Linked DNA regions of Drosophila melanogaster. The protein of the gene in region 2 interacts with the protein of the main gene of each other region in a pairwise test. Each region holds a gene or a part of one and is shown on either strand. Other genes may lie near its edges. The genes, in order: Paris, Lim1, Mdh1 and CG32548.

What was found.
Region 1: the proteins of Lim1 (region 2) and Paris interact in a two-hybrid assay, tested with the Drosophila melanogaster proteins (one large-scale study listed by BioGRID).
Region 3: the proteins of Lim1 (region 2) and Mdh1 interact in a two-hybrid assay, tested with the Drosophila melanogaster proteins (one large-scale study listed by BioGRID).
Region 4: the proteins of Lim1 (region 2) and CG32548 interact in a two-hybrid assay, tested with the Drosophila melanogaster proteins (one large-scale study listed by BioGRID).

The regions. Positions count from the first base shown.
Region 1 is NT_033779.5:4,461,154-4,465,575, reverse strand, and holds Paris (parkin interacting substrate), read right to left. Parts: upstream 1,966-4,422; 5' UTR 1,790-1,965; intron 1,736-1,789; 5' UTR 1,731-1,735; coding exon 690-1,730; 3' UTR 501-689; downstream 1-500. Other genes in the region: FIG4 phosphoinositide 5-phosphatase, read right to left, coding at 1-196, 258-338; CG15443 (uncharacterized protein), read left to right, coding at 2,616-2,952, 3,013-3,752; CG15435 (uncharacterized protein), read right to left, coding at 4,017-4,422.
Region 2 is NC_004354.4:8,802,420-8,807,942, reverse strand, and holds the start of Lim1 (LIM homeobox 1), read left to right. Parts: upstream 1-2,138; 5' UTR 2,139-2,936; coding exon 2,937-2,979; intron 2,980-5,523.
Region 3 is NT_033779.5:10,393,159-10,398,622, forward strand, and holds Mdh1 (malate dehydrogenase 1), read right to left. Parts: upstream 3,175-5,464; 5' UTR 3,060-3,174; coding exon 3,057-3,059; intron 1,787-3,056; coding exon 776-1,786; 3' UTR 616-775; downstream 1-615. Other genes in the region: Cnot4 (CCR4-NOT transcription complex subunit 4), read left to right, coding at 4,957-5,061, 5,121-5,234, 5,286-5,435.
Region 4 is NC_004354.4:18,434,623-18,442,268, forward strand, and holds CG32548 (uncharacterized protein), read right to left. Parts: upstream 5,960-7,646; 5' UTR 5,787-5,959; coding exon 5,568-5,786; intron 5,455-5,567; exon of another isoform or gene 5,353-5,454; coding exon of another isoform or gene 5,194-5,352; intron 5,141-5,193; coding exon of another isoform or gene 5,072-5,140; exon of another isoform or gene 5,045-5,071; intron 4,639-5,044; exon of another isoform or gene 4,589-4,638; coding exon of another isoform or gene 4,274-4,588; exon of another isoform or gene 4,246-4,273; intron 3,612-4,245; exon of another isoform or gene 3,530-3,611; coding exon of another isoform or gene 2,882-3,529; exon of another isoform or gene 2,868-2,881; intron 2,679-2,867; exon of another isoform or gene 2,506-2,678; coding exon of another isoform or gene 2,380-2,505; intron 2,180-2,379; coding exon 1,241-2,179; 3' UTR 1,097-1,240; downstream 1-1,096. Other genes in the region: CG6290 (uncharacterized protein), read left to right, coding at 2,882-3,529; CG32551 (uncharacterized protein), read left to right, coding at 4,274-4,588; CG43841 (uncharacterized protein), read left to right, coding at 5,072-5,140, 5,194-5,352.

The DNA.
Region 1 (4,422 bases), on a different chromosome or scaffold from region 2:
AGCGCACAAATCCAAGGACGCCATAAGCGGACGTCACCTTGGGCGAACCCGAAAGGGAAGCGACAAAACGTCGGATCTCCAGGCTGTTAAACTCGTTGGCATTCTCCTCGATACTCAGCCGGTTGTGGGCAAGTCGGTCTATGGTCAGGAGGCGAAACCGAGTCTCCCGATTGTTGCTGCCCACCAAATAGAGGCGCTGAAATTATGGCGATATATGTGATTAGTCAAAAAAAGGTCAGCTGGAGGTGATTTCTTACCGCTCGTGTCTCATAGAGCACTACTTTTTGGATGGAGCTTATCAGGGGATTGAAAACTATATTCGGATTATCATTGTTCATTTTTTCAGCTTTTCCGAAATTTTTTTGTTACAATTTCTCAGGCCGCTCCCACATAAACAACAAACAGCTGATCATCATCTGTAGTTGGATATGCGAGAAATGGCCAGTGTTGGCAGCGTGAGAGGGAGTCGATTAATTAATTTTGTTTTGGTTCAATCAAATATAAATAACATTTTATTCCATCATAAAACATATCAAAATAGGCATATTCATTACCAACCAATTTTATGCCTTATTCTTACAATACCTATGAATATGTTAGCTTATTTTATCATCTAGCAAAATCATTTTTGTCCATTTTAAAGTAGTGCACATGGAAGATATGTCTTCCAAGTGTTTTTAAAGTAGTGGTCACTTGTGTATCTCGAGGATATGTCTAGCAAGTGTTTTTCTCTGCTTATAGAAACTGGCACAGTGAGGACACTTAAATGTTCTTTCAGCGTTGTGTACGAGCTTGTGCTCCTTGAGAGTGCTGCTCAGCCGAAAAGTCTTGGGACAGTGGGAGCAGCGAAATGGACGATCTGGTAAGTGCAGGCGGCTGTGCTGCTTGAGGTGCTGCTTCATAGCGAAGGCCTTGGGGCAGTGGGAACACTTGAATGGTCGTTCACCAGTGTGAGAACGGAAATGGTTATCAAGGTGAAACTTCCTCGTAAATGTTTTCGTGCACTTGGAGCACTTGAACGGTCTCTCGCTGCCATGTGTGCGGATGTGACGCCGGAGATCGGATGATTTAATAAAGGTTTTTGAGCACTGTGAACACTTGAATGGTCGTTCGCCAGTGTGAGTTCGCTCATGCGACTGCAGAGTGGACTGCTGCGCAAAGGTCTTGGCGCAGTGGGAACACTCGTAGGGTTTCGCTGCATTGTGGGTCTTCATGTGCGCCTTGAGAGTGACTCTAAGTCTAAAGTTCCGCTTGCAGTAGGGGCATGGGAAGGATTGTCCGTCCATGTGTGTTCGCATGTGCCTCAGAAAAGTTCCCTTTCGCTGGTATTTCTTGTGGCATTCTCGACATTCGAATGCTACCTTCTTGCTGTCGCTTTTCCCATCGTCATCAGCAGCGGATGCAGAATCAATCCGCGCATCTTCGTCTTCCGAAATCTCCCAGTCTTCTTCTTCGAGCAAGGCGCATAAAGCATCCTCGATGCCTTCATCGCGAACTCGGCAGTAGAACTGGTGGCTTTCCTCACAAGTTTGCCTTATCCCATACGCGCTCTTTACGTCCTCATAGCACTGTGGGCATATCATTTCCGAAAACAAATCGCCACGTTTGACCTCGAATCCGGTGCACTGCGCGATCATCTCGGCAATGGAAACTCTGGTTCTTCGTCTGGCGTCAAATATGTTAACGAGTTTACCAGAAATATCCATACAAACTCGGCATATTTCCGCCATTATCCCTGTAATAAACAATACTTATTAGGCTGAACTTTATGAAGGACTATATTACTTACCTGATGTATATACTAAATAGCTTATAGCTGGAAAAGCAATCTTTTATAATTTAGGAATCCGTTTCATACATCCCAATTAATTGAAAATTAATGCGATTGCCTTGATGAACAATTCAAAATAATAATAAGCTAAACTTCACATTGTGCACAGTACACTGGGCACCCTATTCTCTGGGCCATATGCTAAATCGATTTATTATCGATGTTCGAAATTCAAATTATTTATCAAAATGATGATTTTTGAAACTAAGGTGTGTTTACCATATTTAACAGCTGAGATAAACGCAAACTTGCAAGGGTCGCCCTGTGGTGGTCAGCCCAAGTTTTGATGGGAAAATTCTTATCGGATATCGATATCCTTTACCTGTTGAAGAATATAAAATTGAAATAAATTTCTTTGGAAAAACAAACATTTATCTTCGTATAGTTTTTTCACATTTTCGCCTAGCTAGTGGTGAATAATTTTGGACAGAAGGAGCACTGGACTTTTTCCGTGGAAATCATAGAAAAATTAAATTAAAAAGGCACAAAAAGGAAATGAATCTCCTCGCCGAACTTCTTTGCCAGTATAAAAATAAATTCACATATGAAAAATCGGGTTCCTGGGTGCCACTGAATATGTTTATCCATCGATTCCGGGCTCAGATTACCACCATTGACCTGAAATTAAATAAGCATTACTTACTCCAAATAAAATATAAACAAACAAGTGCGTACCTTTTTTGTTTACAATTTTAACAGCTGATGAGTGAAGTGCTGTTAACCTTTCATAGTTATCGATAATCTGTTATTATTATCGGAATATTGCTCACTTGCTAAGGATTCCATGAAATTTAAACAAATGGACTTTGTGACGACAACTGGGGAGGGAAGTTTTCTGCGAAACAAGATTCGTGCATATGCCAAGGATCACCGTGTTGAGTGCCGCATAAAGGCGAAAGACTCATTGCGCATTGGACTTGGACAGGTTAAGCAGGAAGTGGCGGCTCTTGAGATGGGCACCAAGGACGTCATTGGAATGGCCAGCAGGATCAAGCGTCGCAAGCACGCCACCTCCGAGGATCTGTGCCGCTTGTCGCTGGGGTTCCTCCAGAGCAATGACAACATCAATGCATTCGCAGCTATTCCTGGCGCCATTCAGGTTCTGGTTAAGGAGCTAACTGGTAACCAACTGCACCCTCATTAGCTTTAGTTTTATATAAAAAGGTTGACTTGACTTTCAGGACCTCACATTCAACGACAGACAGATGCCGTGGAGTGCTTGTGTAATCTTTCCTTGGGCGAGGCCCATGTCTCCGAAAAGATTGTCACTTTGGCGGGCAGCTACATGGTCACCTACCTTGATGGCAAGGCCGAACGCCTCAAGCGCAGTTGCCTGTGGACACTGGCCAACGTTCTGGGCACATGCGACAAGGCCGGCAGCGTATTGCTGCAAATGCAAATAGTACCCAAGCTGTGGAGGCTCTACATCGAGCCCAATGGCTGCCAAGAAGATGCGGCCATCTGCCTCTCCCTGGTGGCCACCCGCTGCCCGCAGCATGTGAGTGACGAGGATCGAAGGTACATTGGCCAGAATCTGCCTGAGAAGCTCCACGGCCAGCCTGCCAGCGAGTACTTCATGTACATAGTGCACCAACTGGAAATAGTGACACAGGAGCACAAGTTAGATGCTCAACAGGCCGAATGCCTGGTGCGTTTCTTTGAAGCCACCTTAGCATCGCCAGCCGACCGGCTGTGCCTAATCTACGCCGTGCGTGTAATGACCAATCTGGTAGCCCTAGGTGACACAAGTCTAATATTCGCACTGGCAGACCCGCAGAATCTTGTGCAAACCCTAAACCAGCTCTTCGCTCTGCGAGATCCAGATCTCAACCTGGACGCGATGCGCTTGCTCAAGAACTGTCTGCACTTGAAGGTAGCAGATTCCAACCTGGTACTGAATAGCTTGCAAATATACGCATAGGCTTATGGTTAAGAATAAGTCTTGCAAATCTCTTTATTGGTCTTAGAGTACATATAAATATAAAGCCACGGACTTTTGAGTACTCGAGAATGTATTGTAAATGAACATGGATTGCCGCTAAGCAAAACTAAATCACTAATGGAAACAGAATAAAATAAATAAATAATAAATAAATACAATACGACAAAAACACAGATGCAAAGTGGTCAACATGATTACTAGTTTGATTGAGCCACCGGCATGAAAAACAGGACTTTGTAAAACCTAAATATCATCCTCGAAGAGGGCGATTATTTGACGCCTTTTGGCTTCGTCGTCGGCGTTCAGTTCATTGCCCCTGTGGGCATTGTGGTTGTGCACCTCCAGTTCGGAGACTGAGTCAAATTCTAAATTGCACTGCCCGCAGCGGGCTGAGAAAACGGGCGCTGGACCCTGCGAAACTGTGCCAGGAGAGACAGCGGCCCGTTGCAGCTTCTCGAGGAACGTGGCTCTCTCCCTGTGCTTGTCCAGCCCGATTCCCAGCGCCGCCTTTCCGCGAATGGGAATGGGTTTTTTCACCGTCGGCGTGCCCTGGGAATGGCAACTTTCAGAGCGCTCAATGGCGTACAGCACGTTGTTCTCCTCCGTGATCGGAGTCGTCGTTCCGCTGGCACAGTCGAATAGAGATGGT
Region 2 (5,523 bases):
CCCCAGCTTGGCTCTTATCCTCTATTCCTTATACCCAAGACATTCTCCTTTTCCTTGTGTTCTTTTGGGGTCTTGAATGTAAATAACTTGTTGCTTGCCAAAAAGTGTATTATAAATATCTTATTCCTCGAGAGTAGTTATGTAAGTGTTTTTGCTTCAATATCCTTTTTATTCCATTCCTATTATGTCCTCATCCCTTTTGCTCTTACTAAATTTGGGGCAAAGCAGTTTTCAAGGCCGTCAAAGATCAACTGATTTCGATAACTTTTCGATAGCGCAGAACAAGTGAAAAGTGACACGCACACGCAAAAACAAAAAGCAAGCACTTCACAGCTTAACACCCTAATGTGCAATATTTTTGACTACCCCACATCCACGCACACAGCAAACGGCGCTCTTTAACCCACCACAGCCCCCTTATTTTGTGTCGAACATCTTCTTCTTCCTATCGAAGTGTGAGTGAGAGGGAAGACCGTAAGGAGTGAATGAGAGCGGGAGCCTCCTCCCCGACCTTTATAATGCGTTCTCTTTTACTCTCACTTATTTTATGCATTTTTTTTATTTTATCCAGTTTTGTCTTTTCTTGTTGTTTGTTTAGATCTTTGGCATTTTTGCAATTTGAATCCTATATTATTTCTTATGGTTTTTATTGGTTTTTGTATTGGTTTATTTTTACGATAAGTGTCTTGCTATAGATTTATCTAAATCGAAAGCTTATTAAAATTGCATTTGTTAAAGAAAAAGAAAAAGATATAATATTTTGCACAATTTTAAATGTTTTTTTCTACTAATTTTTTGTTACTTGCAATTTATCTAACACTTTTTCTTTGCTTTTTTTTCTTCGCCTCCGTTTTTTTTTCTTGCTGTCTCCAGTGCGTTAAAACGCCAAAGGGGCGTCCCTCTCCAGCTAACGCCCCCACCACCCCCCGCCACTAGTGCTCTCCCTTTCGCACTGCTAACGACAAGTGACAAACACAAGTTGCAGAAGAGGCAGCCGAACAAAAACAACAACTAAAAATAAAAAAGAAGGAAAGAAAAAAGTTTTTGCGACCAACAGTTGACAGTCGAAAAGCATTTGACATTTTACCTTGGCACGCACACAAGCACCGCCAAGTGCGAAAGGGACAAAACGCGGGCAAATGTCACTTTGAAAAATGCCATTGGCCCGGCCAGCGAGTGTGAGCGAGAGGGCGCGACGGCCGGAGAGCGTGAGAGCGAGAGAGCGCCATTTTGCGCATCTCTCAATGAAGCAACAATAAAAAAACCAGTTGCTTAGCAACGCCCCCTCTAACCGCAAAAAAGAGAGCTGGAGAGCAGGAGAGCCAGTGTTGCAACAACAATGGGCAAAATGGAAGGGCAACAACAGCAACAAAAACCAAAAATATCCTTACAGGAACAACGCCAGCACCAATCTTGAGAAAAGGATCAAAAGCCCAAGATCAACAGAAGAATGTGTGTAGAATTTAAAAAAAAAGTGAATTTTTGGATTTTTAAAATCTTATGAATCTAACAAGCATCTAGTAAGGCTAACTAAATATTTAGTTATCATGCTAAATATATCAAAATTTTCAAAGAACTTATATTGTGTATTATCGAACAATCACCTAAATTAAATCCTAAAAAAGGAAAAAAAATTAAGATTTCTTGATATTTTTTTCCAATTGTTATGAAATTGTATATCCTTTTCCAAAATATTTTTAATAATAATCTAGATATGCATACCAAATATTCTAGTCATATTTTTTCCATTTTTTTAGAAAACGTTTTGAAAAACAATTTTTTTATTTAAGAATAATATGATTTCTTCATGCCCAACACGAGAGAGCCAGGAGAAGCGACGGAAGCGAGAGCGAGAGAGCCTGCGACTCCATTGCAGCGCCGCCAGCAGCGCAGTCGGCGTCGCAGCAGCCCCAGCTCAACATTCGCTGCATCTCGCTCTGGCGCAGGCGAAATATGCGAGCACTGCTTGCCGCATTCGGTAGCACGAGTGCGAGCGATGCGCCTGCTAGCATCTCGCTCGCACCCAGGCGCGCCATTCGTCGCCGCTTCGGCTCGCCGTTCGTGTGTGTGCGTGTGCGCTCGGCTGGCAGCTATCGGTAATCGGGCCGTCCGCTTTGCCGTCGCGTTTGCCGTTTTCCGTTTTCAGTTTTTGTTTGACGTTCGCGTGAAGCGCCCGCAAAACGCAAAGCGCACGAGGCAACGCTCGAAAAAGGAGCCAACGCAGCCGTTTACCGTTAGTCAGCTGTTTACCGTTCCGCCGCGAGATCGAAAACCGAGAATTTTTGCCGTTGTTCAAATTTTTTTGCAAGTGAGAATCTTGAACAACAAGAAGAATATACAACACATAAATACAACAAAACCAAGGAATCGCCGAAAAGCCGATAGTGCAAAGTGTTTAAAAAGAAAAGAATCAATTTCATATACAACAACTAAAGAAATACTGGAATATAAGGCATAATAGAAGCGGAGGAAGTTTCTTCAACTCAAAGAGGAGCGGAATTTCGCGCTTTGTTTTTGTTTTGCCAAATTTGCCGCCGGCACACACGTGCTATCCCCCTCTTGCTCGCACCTTGCCACCCAGTCTTTATGTGCGTTAACCGTTAAGTGTGCAGTTGGGGCCCGCTCCTATCTTTCTCTCCCTCTCTCTCTCGCTTCCGCACCCGCACACACACACATATATCCACACCCACGCGCGCCTCGTTCACATACGCACACACACGCGGGACTTAACCCATTGACGGCCCCCCCAAAAAAGCAGTCACTCTTAACCCCCCCGAAAAAAAGAAAAACTCCATCCCCCCGGCATCAAGATATTCGACAACAAAATTCTCACCGAGGCCTCAAAAGCGCCCCTGAGGGCCGTCGCACTGGCGTCATATCTGGGCGACGGGTTCGCCGCCCTCGGTAGCCGCGCCCCCCCGCCCAAGGACCATCTGATGGCGTTCGGGGCGGTACTACACACCAGCCAGCACAATATCGGTAAGTGATCGTTTTGGGGAATTTAGGCATTAAGCGGTTAAGGGTCCAGGAAAACATAGAAAATCTGGGGGGTTTGCAGTGAGAATCCCAAACAGGCAAGTTCTTAAGGTTAGTCACATATAGGATACTGCAATCGAAATCATTTCATCCAAGAATCAGCACTAAATCTTTGAGTTGTGCTTGTAGTTCTATAGAATAATATCATTGGGAAGTCAAGGATGAAACATTTTACAGATCGAAAATAGAAGTTGTTTACATCTAATCTAGATTAAGTAATATTCATGATGTCCTCTATCGAAATAGAATGAAAACACCTGTTTGTAGGCTTCGTATAATATTTAAATTGTTTATAAAATCTGTAGACGAGTGATCAATGACACCAATGACACATTTCAAAAATACTTTTAAAAGATGGCAAAGAAGTGAATTTTCGAAAAATGTACTGACAAAAAAGTGGAATCTATTAAAAATGGCTTGATCGCTATGCCGACGGGATGTGGTCTTAGATTTTCAACTGGTGGTAGAAAGACATAAGAAAAGTAGGGTCGAGTGCGGTCGAAAGTCCTTAAAAGGAAGTCAACCCCTTGAAGGATCGGCGAAATGCGATCCCTAGGATGGTGGGTTAATACAATACCGCTTGCCCGCAATGGGTTAAGATGGCCAAGGAGTTTTTAATGGCGACGGCTGGGCAGCAGCAAAGTTTTTGCACTTTTGAACTTGCTTCCCGTTTTTAGGGGACCGCCGGCGAGGAGGAGAGGGGCGTCTAATGCCCCGTCGTCCATCTGCCGTCTCTTTTTCGCATTACCATTTTGTATGCTTTTGAAGTTCTTGTTCATCTGTTTTTGTTTCGGTTTTGTTTTTCCTCCTCTTGTTTTCCCGTTCGTTTTTGGACTGAAAAACTTTTGCGCAGTTGTCAAAGTTTTTCAGCTTCTTCTTCTGCCGTTCTTCCTCTACCCCATCTCATTTTTTTTGGCTTTTGTTTTATTTCATTTGCTCTCTGTCAAATTTTCACTTTTGCTGACTGTTTAATGTCAGGAACAAAAAAAAAAAAAAAAAAAAAAAATAGTAAAAAGGGAGCAAAAAGTTCAGAAATGAAGGCTCCCCTCTAGTTTTGTATTTTGTGATTAGTTGGTGAGGAATATTTCGTTTATATGTATGTATGTAGCTCCCCATCAATTTGAATAACTATAAAAAACATTTATAAACTACAAAATTAAGGATCTGCAGAGATTTAGAGACCGAACACTCTTTTCGAGTATATTTTGGATTCTTATCAAAAGAAATGAAATGAGAAATGATTTAAGTACATATTAGTAAAAATGTAGTAAGGTATTTTATACCACAAAAAATTTTTCAAAAATATTCTAAAATCCTCAATAGCTTCGTTTTCGAACCAGTGAGGTTCGATGGAAATTGCAACTGCAAATTCTCCATTTAACTTGTTGACATTGGACATACAGCGGCCGACACCTTACTTCCCCCATAAATTGGCTAGAGAACTGTTGGGGTTTTTGGGCTTGGGGCCTGCAGCTCCGGGGGCGGTTCAAGTCAAAAGCTGTCGACATTTGACTGGAAAATGGATGTTCAGGAAGCCGTAGACCCGCACAGTGGGCCACCTTACGACGGCGGACTGATGCCAAGTGGAGTCGTAAAGCTGCCAAGCTTTCTTCTTCCTGCTTCTACTGTTTCTCGGTTGGATTTTTTTGTTTTTGTTTTATTTCTCGCTCATAGACATACCCATTAGCTAATGACTAAGTGTTGGCAGTTATGAACTTAACTTGCATTTAGTTGGGGAAAACTACAAAGTAAAGTACCACTGAATATAACTCGGCTTAATGAAGATAACTTTTCCGCGCAGTAGCTGTATCTTTTTTCGAAAGTTCGTAAAGTAATTTGGAATCAGGAAAGATATCCAATTTTTTATGGTATAGTTAAGGTTTTGAAATGAGATGGAAAAAATGTATTGGAAATACTTAAGATAGGATACCAATTTAGGTCGTTGAATCTTTGGTAATGTGTTTATTCTTAAGGAATTTAGTTTTCAAAACTTCAATAGAATAGGGTAACCCCTCGTCGTTCAATTACCAATATCATCGGCCATTTCTCTGGTCGACTGCTCATTTTTCTTCGCATATATCTTGGTGGCAGCATCTTTTCAATTTTTATGTTGCTGCTAGCGAACACGGCAGCAACATGCAGCAACAGCAACGTGCAGCAACAGCAACGTGCAACAGCAGCAACGTGCAACAGCAGCAGCAGCAGCAACAAAAGCTCAGACCGGCAACGCCTTCGACAAAAGTTTGCGCTGCTGTTCATCAACATTTATGACTGGCCACAAAGGAAGATCATTACGATCCCGAAGATTACGATTATGGGGTGTAGTAGGCTCATGCATACATATGTATATACTCGAATGTATGCAGGCAGGATGGGATCGTGGGGTCTGTGGCTCCTCTGTTTCTGTGCAACATTATTTCCGTGGAAGCTTTTGTCCAAGGAAATGTGATTTTTCTAGCCGTTTTTAGACCTGCGCTGTTGGACATT
Region 3 (5,464 bases), on a different chromosome or scaffold from region 2:
TTTCTTAGCTTTCGTATGTGTTTTACACCGCTTACGTACTTCATTGAAACAATTTACCTGTACAATCTTTAGACTTCTTGACTTCATTGATTTCGTTATGAATAAATGGTATAATATAATGTTTATACCTAATAATACATGGTTAAGCTGTCGATTTATTGGTTTTTGCTGCCAGAGGTTTCAATCTGATATTAAGGATCTTTAGTTCGGGGATCCACTGCTGATTTGAGTAGATAGTTGTCAGTTGTGGGCTTAAAAACTATAAGTAATTTGTATAATTTCAGTTTTTTAAATGTCCGTCTGTCTTTCGTAGATCTATAAACGTTTGAGATTATAACTCAAAAACGGTCAAACAATTGTGACTTGCCCAAATTTTACGTTACCCGAATAGTTATCAATGATAAGTTATCAGACTGTCGCAATGGCTTACCTCATTAAGATTTGATTTGAACTCTAATTATTAATCACAGACCACCAAGGAATTTTACATTTGTGTATTTGACATGTGTATTATACACGTAGCCTTCCAAATATACATGTAAAAATACTGATCAAACTGGTAGATAAAATATGAAATCACAACAACTATAAACTCAACGGTCTATTATTTAGTTTATCAGCCATTAAGCCTTTAATCTTATAGTTCAAATCGCTAGCAACAATTAACTTGCACAAAACAAAACCATTTCAGAGCTATTTACAAAACTTTTATTGCCATGAACTTTGTTCCTAAATGCACAACTATGATGTTAGTAATTAACGTTTAAGGATCGCATTACAAGTTGGACACATTCGAGTCCAGCACGGACAGAGCCTCGTCCTTCTCCTCCTGCAGCTCCTTGCCGGTAACGCTTAACTTTGTCTTAGCGAAATCGCTGAGGGTCAGGCCAGAGACGATTTTCCATTGCTTATTCTTGATCTCGACGGGGAACGAGAAGATCACATCCTTGGGCGAATCGTAGCTGCCGTCGGAGAAGACACCCATGGAGACGAACTGGCCGGGAGCAGTGCCGTTCCACCAGTCGTGCATGTGATCGCAAGCGGCCTTCGCCGCCGACATGGCCGATGACATTTTGCGGGCCGCAATGACAGCGGCTCCACGCTTCTGAACGGTTTCCACGAAGGATCCCTGCAGGTAGCCATTATCGTTGATCGCATCCACCACGGACTTAACGGTACCATTGGCGGTCACCTTGGCCTGTCCAGCATCGGGATACTGGGTGGAGGAGTGGTTGCCCCAAATAATGATGTTCTTAACAGCAGAAATTGGCACACCCAATTTGGCGGCGATCTGGGATGTGGCGCGATTCTGATCCAGGCGAGTCATAGCCGAGAAATTTTCGCGCGGAATGGAAGGCGCATAGGAGGAGCAGACCAGGGCATTGGTATTGGCCGGGTTGCCCACAACCAGCACCTTGACGTCCTTCTTGGCGAACTTGTCCAGAGCCTGGCCCTGGGTCCTGAAGATCTTCACGTTGGCGGACAGCAGATCCTTTCGCTCCATTCCCTCCTTGCGGGGCATGGCGCCCACGAGGAAAGCGGCCGAGACATCCTTGAATCCAACAGCCGGGTCGGTGGTGGGCACCACCTCGACCAGCAGCGGCAGAGCGCAGTCGGCCAATTCCATGACCACGCCCTCGAGCACACCAACCATGGGCGGAATGTCGAGCAGGTGCAGCACGATGGGCTGATCCTTGCCGAACACCTCGCCGCGGGCAATCATGTACAGCAGGGAGTAGGCGATTTGGCCAGCGGCTCCGGTCACCACAACACGAATTGGTTCAGCCTGAAAATATATTCACTCGATTAGGAACATTCCTTTAAGTGTATTTCATCTTCCTTTTTCCATTTCTTTATGCATTTTCCGTATTTTATTTCAAGAATGTTCTTAGCTATGTTTAGATGCAGCTAAACTAATTATACTGTAATAAGGGGCGAATTTTTCATCCAGCCTTTGGCTTTGGATCTATATTTTATTTTTAGACGCTTAGCGGCGAGGAAATATATGCGAAAACTGCTAACTACACAAAATACTTCGTATATATCCAGCTCGCCATTTCCGAATTAAAACCCATTTAAGTGCAATTTCAGCAAAATTAATGCAAATATGATAGCTGAAAATAAACAAATGCGTGACCAGGTTTTTTGTTACTGTTTTGAAGTGTGTCTTTATCAGCTTGCATTTGTTGTTTACGATAGATAACGAATTTACTTTATACTTTATACTTTAGCTAGAACTCTTAAATTTCCTCTCCATTTATCTCTGAGCTGGCATTTTCAATAGTTATAGATTTAATAAAACATTTTATAAGTGATGTGCTTTGATTTTTGCTTGCTAGTGCATTTTCCGCCCATCCTCGTTACGCAATCCCAGTTAATCCTTTCCTAAGGGCACTAAAAGTAGGCCACTTGTGGCAATTGACCCCTATTTATGTTTTGCCCTAAAGAAAAGTCACAGGGCATAGTTTCCAGTAAAATGTAGCTAAAGACGGGAATTACTAAACATAACATATATTATATTTTTATATTATATATTTGTCATTGAAGAAGTTTTTAACTTCCAAACAATTGGAAGCGTAACCCCTGGGAGCATTTAGCATTTTTGATAAGATATGACAGATTTGAACTGCATGGACTTTGCTTCACCGCCTCCAATCATCCGGTTTATATAAGCTCTATCTGCTCCGGCAAGAGCTATTAAAACATGAAAACAACATTTTTATCGCCGTCAATTGGCAATTAGCTCGCATTTGCAATAAATTCATGCTTTTGGGGGCCTCTGAAAATGCAACATTTGTGCATACGTTCGAATTGACGTCACTAAGGTTTTTGGTTTTTAAGATTAGCATGAAGAGAGGTCAAATGAATGTTAAATTTCCAGAAAAATTATTGCGACCAATCACACATACCGTCATAACTACACATTATTGTGTACGGCACTTTGAATGCATATGTATGCATATTCTTCACATTTGATAATCAAATATGCAGATTATTAATAATAATTTGATGATATATACTATACGAGCGTAGCGAGAAATCGCCGGCAAGCTTACCATTTTAGAATTTCACAGGTGCAACGCTCCACGGACGAACTTCAAGTAAAAACGTAAATAGGGATCGCCAATTGGGAACCTGTTACTTTTCACAATTATTTTCCAGTCACTACTTTTTGAATAAAAGTAGCCGTGACTCCAACGCAATATGTTTTTGGCAAAATAATCGATTATGTTGCTCCTTACAAATTTACTAAATTTTTAAATAATACAAAGAGTTAAGGAGTTCTCTTATTGTTATTAATATTTACAGTTGCCAAAAAAAAGTAAATACATATATAAATAAATAAAACGATGATAAATGAAAAATTAATAGAAATATAGTTATTAAATTAGTTAATGTAAACAACAAAATTTTGCAGAAAAAGCATCAAATATCATATTTCTTTGCATTATTCTTGGTCACTTTGTTTACACATACAAAATTAGTACCTAGCTATATTTTCATATCTGAAATACGCAAATGCAGTCGTGTGAAGTGATTTTTTCGCTTGCTATTATCGATAGTTTGAGCTGTGGAAAAAAATCGAATGTTTCTTGTGGAAAAAATTGGAGTCTTTAATTTGGCGAATCCATTCGTTTACTTTGCGTTTATTTTTAGCCTTAGTACTTTCGTTTGATACGTTTGCTACCAAGTATTTATAAAAATTAAAAAGCGTTCAAAAACACAATTAACCATTGCAACGTCGTTTCATCAGCTATTCAGAGTGAATAAAGAAAACCTACATCACACCTACAATCATACGTGTTACGTGTACATACATATGTGTATGTATATATACTCTTGCTTATGTACATTAAACATTTGCCGTTTTCCTTTCCAACCAGCCTTTTGTTATTGTCTAAAAATCGATTTTCGTTACCCTTTTATACGAGTTCGTGATTTGCCATAATTAATAAACAATAAATCACAGCTGTGGTTTGGTAAATAAGTGCAGCGTGAACAATGTACGCTTATGTACATAAACACTCGCATATGTGTGCGTATATAGTGGATTAACAAATTGCTGATGTACACATATTAAGTGCTTTTACAATGCATACGCAAATATCGATGCAAATTCTAGTAATTTTGCTTAATACCCACACGTATTTGCATGTCGCCATACTCACACACATGTTCGGTTATTAAACTCTTGAAAATTGTACTTTCTTTTTGATTGTGTTTTAAAGAGAGCTTCCGTTTTAAATTTGAGAACTTATTGATGTACGCAGGTAGTGCGTATATTTCCGAGCTGGTTTGATTTTTGTTATGAAAAGGTATCCATATTTAAAAATACTTTTTGTGTTTGTTTGTCTGCGTTGTAGGCATATGCGTGTGTGTGTATATACACAATAAAATTACCTGACGGCAAACACCTTCTTCGGGTCGCATTAAATTGTCTTTTTTCAAAGGTTGCATAAAGTCAACAATACCACGAATACAATGGGCAGTATGTAAACAATTTTGCACAAATCGCAACTATCAAAAAAAGTGTTAAATATGGATATTAACTAAAGTGGTCAGCTACAGGTGCCAAATGTCCACAACTTGTTTTTCGTAGTGTGCAAAATAACGGGGTGATTCATCTAATAAAGATCGCATGCCTTCCTTTTTTTTAGGTGTTTTAGGTAGACAAAATCATATATGCATAGTTTAGAAGTACAAGACAAGGGAATATTCTTCTTATTTCAATGCAGGTTCATACCAATCTGATGAAAATCCATCCTACAAAAGCTATCCTTGAGATTTAAGAATCTACACACAAAACTTCATCCTAATCAAATATATATATATATATATATTATTTATACATATAAATTTTATTTACTTTCTACAGCTTGGTTCTCATCATTATCAACAATTTTATAAAAATTACAACTGCGAGTACTTCATCACTAATCAACAAATCACCTGAAAATGAACGGCCTGAGCAGCAATGATGATGCAGTCGAGTGCCCTTTGTGTATGGAGCCGCTTGAGGTGGACGATCTGACCTTCTTTCCGTGTACCTGCGGATATCAGGTACATACTGTCATTAAAGCACCCTTATCAGCAGCGTATTCAAGTGCTATTGCTTCCAGATTTGCCGATTCTGTTGGCATAGGATCCGCACGGATGAGAACAAGCTGTGTCCGGCATGCCGAAAGGAGTATCCCGAGAATCCAGCTGACTTCAAGCCGCTGTCGCAGGAGGAAGTATGTCGTGGTCACCTCGTATTCATTCCACTAACTTCTACTCTTCTTTAGATGATTGCCTTCAAGTCCCAGAAACGCCAAAGGGACCAACAACGAAAACAAAAGATCACCGAGAACCGCAAACACTTGGCCAACGTTCGCGTTGTCCAAAAGAACTTGGTGTTCGTTGTGGGGCTACCGCCACGACTTGCTGATGCAGACGTATGTTGATTTTGCGCCATAGATAACCG
Region 4 (7,646 bases), 9.6 Mb from region 2:
TTAAGCGAAACCTTTCGTTTTGTTTTAACCCCTCTTTAATCGACAAAGAAGTCGATGGGTGCTTAACTGAGGAGTTCAATCCTTCAACCTACAGACGACAACGAAGTCGTTTCTGGAGGCAACGATCTTTTGGACACAACGGTCTCTGCTCGGAAGGCCCTATCAACCTTCCACATAACTATATATGTATGAAATCTTTGAAACTTGGACTTAAAATAACTAACAGGTCTAACCTTCAGTTTGCCAATTAAATTTGGTTATTTTTAGTTACTCATATATAGTAGATGTATTCAATTAAGTTAATCCACGGCTTCTCGCAGTGCAGATATGGATATTGAAATGGATGCACACGTGGCCACTCAAAGGATTCGGGGCTCATCATGTATGTTTGGACTGCGCTTCGCTGTGGCCAGTTGAGTCCAACCCCCACCACCCATCCAGTGACCTCGTTCCCATCAGCATCATCCTCGTCCCAATTAGCCGCCGGCCAACCAGGGCAATTGTCTCCGTTCATTGATGCACCACTCGGCGGTGCAAGTGGTGGTGGACTCGAGCAGAGGATGTCCATTCCCATGGATGTCTAATAATACCCCAACAATCGAAGTCCGTCGCCGTTGCGACTGCGACTGGCTGCTCGGATAAATGGATCCGCCAGTGGGATGTACGATGGCATGGGACGGATTATATTAACTCTATAAACAGATTCAATGGCAGCAATTGTGTGCCAATGCGAAGGCGGTCCGTTCAAAGCAATATTAATGCATTTATTGCACGTGAGCTCGGCGGCGTGTTAAAGATGAGCGTTGCCGATTAGGAATGACCCATCATTAGCCATGATGAATCTGGTAAGTGGGGCCAGTTAACTGACCAGCTAGATTCCACGGAGCACGTGCCGATGGTTTATTAGTAATGAAATGCTGTTGGGTCATATAGGATGGATTTGGGCTAATTAAGCAACTAACTAGAGTACATAACTCGAGGCCAGAAGTGCACATTCAAACTCTTCTTCAGGCAAATCTAACCCTCGTAACTTCGTAAGCCATAATCACCATTTGATAAGCCTGAAATGCATCCACCCCTCTAAAAACCAACAATTATCATCACTTACAAAATTTATTCTTGCTTGCCCTAAACAATTCCTCTTATCAAATACCACGAAAATTTACGCAAAAAAAAAGGTGTGTGAAAAAAAAATGAAAATACTAGTTTTGGAAGTCCTTGGAATAACAGCTCATCATCATTAGAAGCTGTAGTTGAGATTGCCGCTTGAGAAGCTCACATGAGAGACGTCCGGCGATTGCTGGTAGGTGGGGGATCCCAGCACGGAGGACATGGGAACGGCCATCCCATAGCTCTGGCGGGTGGTGGGCGCCAACTGGCTGGTGGCGAACTGATGGGCCACCGACTGCTGCTGGTCACGGAGCACGTCCTGCTGCTGCTGCTGCATGAAGCCCATGTGCTGTTGCGTGGAGTAGAAGTCTCCACTTGCTCCCCCTCCCAGACTGTTGGAGCGCAAAGGCGCTGATCCGATCACTCCTCCCGGGATGACTCCAACTGGACCTCCTCTTACTGGACCTCCGGGCACAATGGATCCGGATGCAAGGCGCTCGGGCTGCAGGCCATTGTTGCTGAACTGCGGCCGACGGTAGGCGAAGCGGCCAGCTGCGTTCTGTGCTGCCACGCCCGCCGGAGCGCCTCCCACATCGGCGGGAGCAGCTATCTGGGGGGTTTGGGGTTGAATCTGATGAGCCGGTGATGTTAGGCCGCCGGATACATCGGGATAGTAGTGGTAGAGCTTCTGCAGCAGGTGCTGCTGCTGCTGCTCGAACTCGGCTCGTTGGCGCTGATAATCGAGGAAGGCGGCGTGCATCTGGTCCGCATAGCTGGGCATGTTGACCACGCCACCGCTAACGCCCACTCCTGGTCCGGATGCAGCTGCTACCTGCGGCGATGTGGCGGCCAGGAGTTGCTGCTGCTGCTGCGCCAGGAGCTGCTGTTGCTGCTGTTGCTGCTGTTGCTGCTGTTGCTGCTGTTGCTGCTGTTGCTGCTGTTGCTGCTGCTGGAGCAGCGAGTTGGGCGTGACCTTCAGCTTACCATCGGCCCGGAATCCTGGCTGCGAGTACACGGCAGGATACTGCTGTCCCGACGGCGAGAATCCACCAAATTGCGTGGGAGTTTGCTGCATAGGTTAGAGGAATAAACGGATGAGAATGGAAGCTAAACCAGGACAATTTTATCCTTATTCTGAACTGGCTTAAATGATATTTAGATGAGTGTCTAATGTGCGCAAGTAGTAGGCCGTTTTCGATGTGTAACTTTTGATTTCGTTTTGTAAAATATTCATACAATTGAGCTTATAACACGCTTTCCTTTACTCACGGATGAAAGGCCACGCCCGTGATTCTTGATAATTGAGTGCTGGGAACCCAGGCATCCCTTTCCCCACTGTCCCTCCGCGTCAGCCAATCGACTGGCGTTGCCCCCACGAACTTTGCTGGATCTCATGATTCCCTGTTGTTCCGTTTGTCGCGATGTAAACTTAAAAGTTTTGACGAGAGGTTGTGTAGCTCGAGTGTGGATAGCCAAAAATTGATTTTCAAATTCAGATTTTGATACAATTTGTTTACGAAGTCTGTAGCGGGAAAAATTGTAAAACGAACCGATCTGAACCGACTGAGCGAGCAAGTGATACTGACTGGATAGCTCAACCAGTCCGGTGACACCTGACAGCTGTCGTCGGGCCAATCCGAAAGCCTACTGTGATCTCTACTAGCCATCGGTGCCATGGTGTGGATTCAAATCGATATGTATCGAAGGGAATCACGCGATTCGATGGCTTAAAAAGCGCGGATGCAATGCCGCAACCTTACAGTTAGAAACGATGAATCGCCATCAGCTGGCACTTCTCCTGGTTGTCGCGGGTCTGGCCATGATTGCGGCCAGGCCAGGTCCACAGAATCCGCTAGAGTCGCTGGGCATGGGCGCCATGTCTCTGGCCGGAAATATAGCGGAGGCAGTTCAGAGTGGCGCCGCCATCTCCCGCGACGTCGACATTGACAATCCCCTGATGTCCGTGCACTCGAAAACGGCCGTTGGCTATGGAGATGCCATACGTCCCATTGCCACCGATTCATCCGAGGAGGATCGTCGTCGGAAGCGAAGGCGGCGGAGCCTGCATCGCCTCAAACGCGCTCCTTGCTTCTGGAAAATGAGCGCTGCCGCCACCACAGCGGCGTCCGCCGACGATGACGTGGAGGCCAGACGGAGACGAGCTCAAAAGCGGGCCGCCAACAATGCCTCCCGATCCCGAGTGAGTCCCAAGACCACTGGCAAAAAGAACAAGAAGTTGGTGCGACGACGACGGCAGGAGGAGAAGGGCATGGAAGTGACACAGAATATGGACGGAGCGGATCCCTTGGGCCTGGGCACCAGAATCAAGGCCATGTGGCTTTCGTTTGTGAACAACGTAGCGGATGTGGTGCAGCAGGTGCGCCAGAAGATCACCGAAACGGCCAACTCCACGGCGTAGAATCACCGAGCTCCCTGACGACCACCATCGAGTGTATTTTTTTTGTTTGTTTATAAGTGCAATAAAATCAACTGAAAACCGGAAACTGTGTTGAGCGGCATGTTTTCTGGGTTGGCCAAAAACATTACGATTACGTCTTCATTCAAATATGTACTATAGATTACATCCATTTTAAGACCCCATCATATTATCAATGTAGTAGCCAATTAAGGCCAATCACCTTTGGTAAAAGGTGACCCCAAACGGCATTAGAGTCAAAAAAAACGTGTACTCCGTCTTTAAACTACAAATGCTTGTGAGCTCAACTAAACATATCACCAAGGTGACCCAAAACTTGGAATCCGGTTACCATTTTAAAGTGGCATACCTTTAAGAACTCAACCTTATTTGTTGCTCTTTAAAAAGGTCACCGCCGAAGAGTCACCCCCAATCGATAAAGATTCCTCAGGCAGAGGCAATAAAGCAAAAAGCGAACTGTCATTTCTGAGCAATCCGATCGAAAGTGGTCCGAGGAGAAGGCCATTGGGGTCACCACAGCAACTCGACTACTGAAGGCTGTCCAGATGGGAGATACGGAAACGAGCCGAGTCACGATGAGCCAACGGTCAGTGGGCACTTCCGGGCCAGATGAGATGCATCTCGACATGCATTTCGAACATTTCCGTGTCTGGTCGAAATCTGATTGAATTAAAAAGGCTGGGTACAAAAGGCGCATTCAGGTGGCTGGGCACAACAGTTGGCCAAATGATTTCCGGACCCAGATTCTCTGCCCTACTAATCGTGGCCCTGACCCTCGCTCTGGTGGCCCAAACTTGGGCCGACGAGTTCGATCTGGACTACTCCAACGAGTACGACGATGTGCGACCGCATTTGGTCTATCCCGACGATCCAAGGCTGGACAAGCGGATCGGCGATGCGGCGCGGGAGTTTGGACAAAATATAACCCAAGCCTGGAACGCGATGGTGGACTCGTTTAAGAACTACTTTGAGGAACTCAAGAACCTTTTCTCCGACACCACGGATCTCGATTCACCCAATGAAGTATTTTCTAACCGCTGAAATGGGCGTTTTACTTTCGTTTCGAGCAAATAAAGCGTAGCAAAGAATTTAAAACATTCATTTGATTTGGGAAATATCATCCGTTGAAAGCCAACTTGATTGCTTTTGATTTAGGTACATTTCCAAGCGGGTATTTATAATTATTTTTTGAATACTACAAAATGACAATACTAAGTAATATGGTATACATCTGCGGATGATAACCAATTAGGCACTGAATGATTCGGCTTAAAATGCTTTTCCAACCAACAAAAATGAGATTTTTTCATCTCTGGTTTAATTAGATCTGTAAGCCACTAAGCTAATTGCCAATAACAACCTCGCATGCTAACTAAACCAGATGCTAGATGTTGCATCTAGATTATGTAAACATGAAAACATATCTGTTTTTCGCGTAATTAAGCAGAATAACTAGAAAGTGACAGGTTAAATAGCTGGCTTTCTTCTTGGCAATCAATTATTGGGAAGTGAAGCCATCACAGGATGACATCGCCTATTTTAATCCTGAGTCTAGGTCTGCTCCATTGGAGCATTTCGCCCGTCTGGTCACAGGTAAGATACTTCGTACTCGTATCGTATATCCTTGATACCCAAATTCCCTGCAGAATATGCCCACTGATGTGATGGACGCCGTCGATCAAATGCAGGAGATCTTCGAAAACAATATGCAGGGCCCACAAAGTTCGGAGTATGGTGACGGGACATTCAATGGAACGCCCTTTCTACCCGAACAAGCATCGAACATCCAAAACTTTGGCGGTTAATTTCAATTCGAATTCCAATTCATAGTACTACTCTAAAGCAACGCCATGTGGCTAAATATTAAATTAAATTGAAGAGTGTGTCCGCAACTTTTTCCCTCGTATAATTGTTATCCAGTGTTTTCTTAAGCAATTTTAAAATTCAAGTTTAACTTTATGTGCTTTTCCCAGAGTTTCAATAGTAGATTCACCCCTCACCATTGCCGTGATGTACTTACCAACTGCTCCTGCTCCTGCGGCTGCTGCAGCTGCGGCTGCTCCACCTGCTGGTTCTTGGCCGCTCCTCCGTAGTACCGGGTGAAGGTCTGCTGCACTCCGGGCGTCTTCAGGCTGTAGGAGTTCGAGTTGGCGTCCGTGTGGATGGAGACCTGTGCGCGGCACACCTCCTGCTGGCCGGCAAGCACCAAGGCCGCCACCGTCAAGGCCAATGCGAACATGATTTACGTGGTGAGGCTAATGGATGGTTGATGGCTGGATGGCTGGATGGCCTGGTATTGGAACTCGACTTCGTCTCCCGTTGATTTGGCAGTATGTCCGAGCAACCGTGCAATCGGACTATGGATCGTTATCAGCTAAGCGGACGCGACTCGCGAACGTCGATGGTTGACTGTGCAGCGCCCGCCGACTGTCCACCGATTTTATACCGCCTTCGATTGGGGAATGTCCACGCTTGGCTCTCTGCCTCTGCCACTTCAGTTTTTGGCCCCAAAAACAGCGTACATGCATACATATTTTGGCCATAAAGTTTGGCCCAAAAAATGTTGTACTCTTTACGTCTTAAATGTGTGAATAAAGTGAAGTAAATAATAGTTGAACCAAATTTGAAGATAATAATAGTCTCAATTTTCGGTTTATGAAGCACCTGAAAAATCATATTTTAATAACACTTATAGAATAATGACTTCAGTTTATCATTAGAGCGAAATATTTCACGAAGTTAACTTCTCAATAATAGGTTCAATCTAATCATCCATTAGATTATTTTTTAAAAGGTGTCATTTGATTTTCTCTGTGCAGTTGGAAAGTATTATAGCTTCTATTCGAAATCGTTGCCTGAAATCCAAGATATCTAATGTAATCCAATTGAACTGCTGTGCCTTCAAGTTTTTTTCTTTTTTTTTGACAAAGCTGCCCTACCCTGTCGCGTTTAATATAATTTTCCATAATTTCAATTTCGATATATATTTTATTTTAATTTTCACCCGCATTGTTTTGTTTCACATTTTGCGTGGATAACTTTCTTTAAACTTTGGTGTCTGCCTGCGGAATATGGAATAAGCAATAACAACGGCGGGGAGGAGTGTGCAGTGGAGGGTGTAGATGTAGATGGCAATTCCAATTCCAATTCAAATTGAATATGCTCTTTGGCACTTACATAACAATCCGCCCCCGCTGGGCGAACGGCAAACTAAACATAAACACCGGCATAAAACGTTGTTTATAGGAACGTGCCCGGAATGCGCGATATGTCCGAAAAGCGAAACTTGCAAATGCCGGCTACACGGTGCGAAAACGAGTGCGCCTTCAGACCCATCGTTCTCTAAACGCAGAGCATGATGAAGTGAGAAGACTAGTGGGCTTTTGTCGCTGTGTACGAATGGCTTTAGCCACCAAGATACGGAAGCGGGGTTAAGGCCAGAGTAAGAAGCGAAAAATCGGCTCAATTGGAATGCAGTTTTGATGGCCCAATGAGATTTGGCCCGTTGGCAGGGCAACGATTATTATGAAAGCAGCAAAGACCTGGTGGTGGTTAGTGCGTAATGGTCACTTAAGCGCGCGCTTACCTGCCACCGTTGCGTATACGTGATACGTGATCGTCATAAATTTATTTGCGCATTTCATTATGCGGCGTGTAATTGAAAGCGCATTTCACACGATTGAAAGTTGTCTGTCCCCGACTGTCTGCCTGTCTGTCTGTGTGTTTGTGTGCCTGCTGACCCGCATTACCCCAATAAAGTGACCCAAACCGAGTTCCTAACTTAATGTGCCCCGGGGTAATGGCCATAACTTCTCCTTTCACTCCGGCTGCATTCCTTGGGGCTTGGGTCCTATCTATCCATGTGGGGTCGTACTTTCCGTTTCCGTCCGGGCGTGTTTTCTCCATTAAAGTTGACTTTTCCGAATGAAATGCTTGTCGTTTTACGATTACCCCACCATAAGCCATCAAAATAAACAGCGCAAATTATGCAAAAAAGAAGGAGACCCAAAAAGCAGATGAACACAAATGGAGACAAACTGGTAAAAGTGGAAATGAATGTGGCAGTGGTAGTGGAAGTGGAAGTCTCGCAAGTCAAGTA